2 linked regions of the Daphnia pulex genome follow. The protein of the gene in region 1 interacts with the protein of each later gene in a biochemical or structural test. Links are inferred from orthologs where the notes say so. Each region holds a gene or a part of one and is shown on either strand. Other genes may lie near its edges. The genes, in order: DNA topoisomerase 2-binding protein 1-A-like and cell cycle checkpoint control protein RAD9A-like.

Region 1 (2,810 bases):
GCTGTCTCTGACACTCCTACGTGTTTACAACAGAATCCGTTTAGTGCAAATAATATTGGTAGAACACCTCAAGCTCGACCATCTCTTTTTAACATGCCTACACCCGATACACCATATGGAAGGCTTTTAAACGTAATGTTTTAGTTTGTAATTTTTAATCGTCAGAAAGGAATCAGCATTTTTCTTCTTTGTAGACGGACCCGTCACCCGAAACTCGAAAATTGTGGAAACATGCATTGGAAAATCGAGTTCGTTTGACGCCTCGCGCGGACGAATCCCTTAACGTTACCCCACAAGATATTCAGAAAGGAGAAATTGTGGTTTCCCCCGAAGACTCGGATTATTTCTTGAATTTACGGAAAAAATTGCGTCTTGATGAAAGTGGAGTTGAAGCACAAGCCATGTGGAAACCGGATGAGGAAAATTCAGCGGCAGCATCACCCTTAGAACCACCAAAGCCACCTTTTCATGGAGTGGTGGCATTCATACACAAGAAAGTTGAAGACCAAAGAACCGAGTTGGTAAAAGCAGTTGAAAATCTGGGTGGCAAGGTTCGTTTCCAACACTGCGAGGAGGTAACTCATTTCATATATCAGGGCAAGCTAGCTGCATCCAAAGAGATTCGAAGCGCAAAAGATTGGCACCAGAAATTTGTCTCACCACAATGGATCCTAGACTGTGAAGATACTTCGAATCGTCTAGAAGAATCGCATTATCCACCATCTTTGAATCCGAAAATGGCTTTGTCACTGAATTTCAATTCGCAACCTGCACCGCCGTCTAGTTGTACCCAGAAGCGACGCCTTCCTGCCAGTTCCAGCGAAACGGGTACTCCTAGAATTCCTTCCCGTAAGCGCTTATCATCTGATAGTGAGCCACGTGAAAACGACCTTCTTGAAACTAATGAAGAACAAGAGAATCTTGTCGTCCCAGACGTAGAGGAAGAAGCATGCAAAGAACTTTTGCAACTAGACCAAGTGCTATCACGTTCAGCTGAGCAGATTCCTCTGCAAAAGGTTACAAACGTTTCGGGGGCTAGAAACGGTAGAGGACCTGAACACGTCTTCGTTCCCGCAACGCAACCTCTGGAAACGGTAGATTCGCAATCTGCTCCAATTGTGTGGGATCTTCACGAGACACAAAAGCCAACCGGTTCACAGCTAAACAATACTCAGACGTATCGTGTCATGTTCTCTGGAATGGCACTAGACGATCGTGAAAGCTGTACTGCTGTTATCGAAGAGTTGGGAGGAACCGTTCTTGAATCCAACCAATACGACCCAACGTGTACTCACCTTGTCGTCGCCAAAGTTGGATCTAATGAAAAATTGTTGACGTCGATCGCTGCTGGAAAATGGATCCTTCATCCAGAATGGCTGATTGAAAGCGAAAAAGAAAAACGTTTCCTTGAGGAAGCTAAATTTGAATGGGGCAATCCAGAAGCCACGGTGGATTACCCAGAATCCGAATCCATTACCGAGGACGAAGCTAACATTGCTGCGGCTGCATATTATTGGCGTATTAATCGCAGTCAAGGAGTATCTGGTGGCCCTTTTCACGGAATTACCGCTGTTTTATACCTTCGCGAGAAAAATGCTTCTTTCCAGCGTTTACTTGAAGCTGGTGGCGGAAAGGTGGTTGACCAAGGGTATGATAATAAGGATGTTCAGAGTTTTCTTTCATTCATTATTTTCATTTATTTATACGTTTCTTCTAGTTCGGCTTTGGAAAACAAGAAGACGAACTTGTGCATTTTGGATTCTCGCGAAGCGAAAAAGTTGCAGTTGTCATCGTTTGCCAATAGAGGCATTTATTGCGTTCCATTGATTTATCTCAGAAATCTTGTTCTGGCTACTGACAAGAAGTTAAAATGGAGCAAGTCTGTTTTACAAGAATTTCTTCCTTATCTCGAAAACATGCCTTCTTCTTAACTATCTTTCTTTTTATTTGAATAATCTAATGTGAAAAATACCTTTTTTTTTTAAGAAAATGTTTAAAGATACTTAGATAAGTCCATGAAATACAATCATTTCTAGTTTCCTGCAGAATTGTATTGATAACTAGTACATAATGATGACAAAACTACCAAAGACGCTTAGGCCCCATTGTTGCAGATGTAAGTATCCAGGTTTTGTCTTCATCTTTCTTCATTGACATTTGTTTATGCCTTGGTTTAGTTTTACAAATGATATGAACCCTTCCCTGTCTCACCACTTTGTAGCAGTCTTTGCAACGTTTCATCGGTTTCCCCACAACTTTGAATCCACAACTAGGAACTAGTGAAGGAACAGTAGGAGTTAACAGTTGATTTTGCACATTCAGAGTTTGGGGAATTCTCATTGATAATGCACTAAATGTTCTTGACACTGTCACAGGGAAAACAGCAGGTGAAAACATAAAGAGTTGTTGCAGGTTGCTGCACACGGGTCTTACAATTTTTCTCAATGCATCCATTTCAATCGTGAATCTGCTGTAAAAATATTTAAAACTGTTACATTTTTCAGTACTCTACATGAATTACATTAAAAGATAATGAGTAGTGCAAATGCAATAATTTTTTGGATTGCGCAACGTATCAAAGCAAGATTTAACTCTATTATAAACTTACGTAATTAGGATTCTTGTGAAGGTTTATCGTTAGAGAAAATTATCTTTTTATTTCATTATTTTACTGAATTGACTGGTTTGATTTTGATTGAGACCTTTTTTTCAGTAACTAAATCAACTAAATTCAGAAACCAAAGCAGACGAAAACGAGAAATTAAAGCGTGAAACAGTGTTGTGGACTTGTGGAAGAAAAGAGACCACAG
Region 2 (4,192 bases), on another chromosome or scaffold:
ATTTAAAACTATCTTAGGATGAAGCGAGAGCAGTTCTGAAGCGGGACCGTGAGCTCATGAAAGGACGACCGGTTTTCATGTCTCCAAGCGAACCGGACGCAGCATTGAAGCATCCAGCTTTCAAGTACCAGTCAACATTAGAAAAGAAAAAACTGTTTATCAAAGGTACGTATTTGCGATCTTTAGGTACGAGCTTAATTTGTTTTTATCCCAAATCTATTTGATGTTATAACAGGCTTAGCTTTCACTACTACTAAAGAAGACTTGGAAGCTCTGTTTAAAAAATTTGGAATTCTGAAGGACGTTCGATTAGTAACGTTACGGAACGGTAGCGTTTAATAATCTAAATTAAATTTATTTTTTCTTTACTAACTTCTATTTAATTAAATATAAAGGAAAGCCCAAAGGTCTGGCTTACGTTGAATTCGAAGATGAAGTTTCAGCGACGATGGCTATGAACCAGACAGACGGAACTACATTCCAGGACAAAGTTTTGACGGTTGCGTTAAGCAATCCACCTCCACGTCGCGAAGACAGAAACCTGGACAAGGATGAACTATCTTTGGGTGGCGGAACACGGGTAAGGAGAACGCAAGTGTCGTTTGTTCCAAACGCCGTCCTTCGCCAGACATCTCAGTCTTCCACCATGCCGCCACCCGTCAGTGTTCCCGCCAGTGCTTCGAAGAGCAATGCCGATTTCCGGTCCATGCTTCTAAAGAAATAATTTGAAAATGACATTGAAATGGCACGAATAAATAAAAAATGGACTGATCAACATTTAATGGCACTTTAACTTTTGTGATCATTATATAGGATACAGTGATGTACCGTTACAAAATTCTGACACAAAACAATACTGAGTTAACTCGGCGAAAGAAAAATGTACAAAATCGTTGGATGAGGGGAAAGCCGGGAAAGGGTTATTTCGTCTCTTGCTATTCATCTTCCTCTGAATCCGGAGCAAAGACTTCAGTTGGTCGCTCTCTGTATTCTTGTGTTAACTTGAGACAATTCTGAAATATGTAGCGAGCCCGAGCTCTCTTATTAGGAGGTGGTTGAATTTCGGGTTCCAAATCTACTTCCATATCAGGAAACGGATGGGGCTCGATAAGAGATAGACTGTTAAGACGTGGGGTATGATCCTCGTTAACAGGCGTTTGTCGTATCAAAGGTGTGTGTAAACGAGTGTGTGTCGTGCTTGCACGAGAACCGTTCCTAGAATCGACCAAATTGGCACGCGAAATGGTCCTGGAATCTAGAAAATTCACGAGGAGAGCAATGTATGTCAAGATCCTGACTTCCCTTTCAAGCCTGTTTTGTTACCTGTTTTATTCCTCAGGGTAGGGACAGGAGACGGATGGTTGGAGGTATTGCCTTGTACTGACATTTCGTGTTTGGCAGTTCGCGAACTAATGGATGCCGTAGTGTCCAGAGCAGGCGTTAGAGTTGCAAGGAGAAAATCTGCTGAATACAAGTCATCCTTTTGTAGACTGAACAAAACAGGCCTGGTAGAAGGAATTCCGTAAATAATCGATGCAACTTTTGAATCACAAGTAAAATGAAATATTGCTTACTGTCCGGCGCCTTCCATTCGACAATCAAGATCGAGTTTCAGGGCTTCTGCGAAGGCCAAAATAGCTCGTAATTCCTTCAAGCAAAATGTAACTTGAGTACACAGAGCGACGTTAAATTCAATGAATTCATCCTTGACCAACGTGACTTCCGTACGAACACATTTGGATGGGTCTATTTCATCATCAATATGGTTACTCAAATGTACTTGATCCATTGCAAGGGACCTTGAAAGAATAAACGAAATTTGAGGTTATTTAAACATGACAATTATGTTGTTGGATTACCAAGTAACTTCTTGAGTGCTTGAATGAAAACTTTGAAGAGTTTCATTGTAAAAACGTGAAGAGCAGGAAAATTTACTGGGGTAACCCTCCTTAGAGAATTCTGCCTATGAATTTTTAGGTTATTTTCATTAAAAGTCTGGCGAGACCAAATCAAAGGACTTACTTCAACACTTTCACATTCAAAGTATCTTAAGTTGAAGTACTTAACAATTCCATGTTTGCACCTGAACTCAATGATTAACAGAGCCTCAAGAAGTGGTAGCATTATCTTACATGTTTCAACTGATTTTTCCAAGCTTCCGATCGACCTAAATACAGACAAGATGGACTGGAAACAAAACATCATTGTAAACACACAATACTTCACATTAAAGTTATTTGTCAGACCTTCATGGGAAGTTTACATTTAATCACAGTATCTTCTTCTGGATCAGCGTGAACAGTATTTTCACTTATGTGCGTGTAGTCAAGAAAAAAAGGTAGGTGAAAATTGAAAGCTGAATAGGCAGATTTGGAAGCATTGACGGTCTTCAGAGTTAATCCATTTTCCATTGGTGAAATGTGCAATTCATCACCTATCTTAGCCAATGAGTGTATGGCTCGCGCCAAAACTAAAGAATAAAAGAAAGTGTTTTAGCTTTCAACTGCTTTAGTACAATCAAATGAAACATCATGTCGTACCCTTAACACTGGTTGCATCCAAAAGACATTTCATTTTTCTTTACTTCAATGTAAATTTAGTTGTTTGCACTAAAAAAAAATTCGAAATGCCGCCAGAAATTATATCGGTAACCCCATGTCCCGGATAACACGTTTAGAATGTTTAGCACGCAGACGACACGGAAATGAATTTTTTCAAGTATGCCCCGATTGGCTGTTGAGATTTTATCTTCACTGAAGATGTAAACAAATGAAACAAGTGACGAGCGTGACTCGTATTATTTCGGCCACATCTGCAAGTCACTGAAACTTGATTGTACTTTTAACCATAGATAAAGAAGACGGTCTTATCTGCTGAGGTACTTCAAGGAAATTTTTTTTCCCCTTGATTTATCAATGGTTTTCAATTATAACATTCTGAAACATTGGAAGACTTTCAATTACATCAGCTTTTCCGCTGTCCAATTCCTGCTGATTACATTCTGAAAAGTCATGGGGCGGAGCTTAAGAACAGCTGTGTAGTGTTAACTAGAGCACAGAGTGTAAACGTTTGTGAATAACTTACTTGTACTGCATGACTTTCTAAGGTAATAACAAATAAAATTTAAACTCTTTCATGATTCAGAATACAAAACATTGAAGTTAATGTTGGTCTGATATTCTGATTACCAATTTACCAATAATTCATTGGATTCTCCATAAACTATTTCACAGATGAGTAAACAAGGTCCTCCTCCAGCTGCCCCTCCTTCTTACATGGAAGCAGTGGGTGGTGTTAATCCATCAAGCCCCTTTACTCCTCATCAAAGTAAAGCATTTTTTTAGTATTTTAACTTTTAATGGGAAATGTGCCTCACATTCAAAATCACAATGTTTATCTCTTTTAATAGATGTAACCAACCAGCAGCCTATTATTGTGACAACCGTGATACCTGTTGGACCCGGAACAACACACACTGTTAGTTTTTCCCTCCACAGTTAATTATATATTTTATTTTCTCTATCTTCTTTCTTTACAGGTCTGTCCACATTGCCATGCTGAAATTGACACTTCTGTGCGTACTGAACCTGGTCTGATTGCCTGGCTTTCTGGAGGTCTTTTAGTTCTATTTGGGTATTACACAGTCAGCAATTTCTTAAGAGTTACACATTGATATAACACATATATTTTTATTACCAGATGTTGGTTGGGCTGTTGCCTTATCCCCTGCTGTATTCCTGAGTGCATGAATGTTCATCATGCTTGTCCAAATTGCAAAGCATACTTGGGGAGATACAGCCACTTTTAAGCTAATGTTCTTACTATGAAGAGGCAATTGGTTCTTTCTGTGTGTTAAATTTCATATTCATTTTTGGCAAATTTGGTTGTTGCATCTTGTATGCCAAAATTTACCTTTTTCCTAATTACACGAAGCTTTTCAATTTCAAAATTTCAAACAATAGAAATGCTGAACGTTGTATTATTCGTACCTTGCTTCAATATCTACTCCGCTTACTTATTAAAATCAAAGATACGCCGTGTTAATTTTATCACCAAAATTTATCAATGAATAAACTTCGAATATATTAAAATTGTCGTTTGTAATTTAAATTTTAAATTCATTGAAAAACGTTTTGTTCGACTGGGACAAAAAACCTATATTCCTTTTCTTAACTGAATTTTTTTAAATTAA

What was found.
Region 2: the proteins of DNA topoisomerase 2-binding protein 1-A-like (region 1) and cell cycle checkpoint control protein RAD9A-like form a complex in vitro, tested with the Homo sapiens proteins (4 studies listed by BioGRID). The link is inferred for Daphnia pulex from reciprocal best matches to the Homo sapiens genes TOPBP1 and RAD9A.

The regions. Positions count from the first base shown.
Region 1 is NC_060022.1:4,608,855-4,611,664, reverse strand, and holds the end of DNA topoisomerase 2-binding protein 1-A-like, read left to right. Parts: coding exon 1-132; intron 133-194; coding exon 195-1,648; intron 1,649-1,717; coding exon 1,718-1,931; 3' UTR 1,932-2,045; downstream 2,046-2,810. UniProt on the Homo sapiens protein: Scaffold protein that acts as a key protein-protein adapter in DNA replication and DNA repair. Composed of multiple BRCT domains, which specifically recognize and bind phosphorylated proteins, bringing proteins together into functional combinations.
Region 2 is NC_060026.1:14,699,133-14,703,324, reverse strand, and holds cell cycle checkpoint control protein RAD9A-like, read right to left. Parts: upstream 2,783-4,192; 5' UTR 2,575-2,782; coding exon 2,541-2,574; intron 2,471-2,540; coding exon 2,247-2,470; intron 2,188-2,246; coding exon 2,023-2,187; intron 1,964-2,022; coding exon 1,860-1,963; intron 1,800-1,859; coding exon 1,575-1,799; intron 1,506-1,574; coding exon 1,312-1,505; intron 1,256-1,311; coding exon 936-1,255; 3' UTR 764-935; downstream 1-763. Other genes in the region: squamous cell carcinoma antigen recognized by T-cells 3-like, read left to right, coding at 18-165, 236-328, 396-724; lipopolysaccharide-induced tumor necrosis factor-alpha factor homolog, read left to right, coding at 3,234-3,327, 3,410-3,477, 3,539-3,633, 3,700-3,808. UniProt on the Homo sapiens protein: Component of the 9-1-1 cell-cycle checkpoint response complex that plays a major role in DNA repair. The 9-1-1 complex is recruited to DNA lesion upon damage by the RAD17-replication factor C (RFC) clamp loader complex.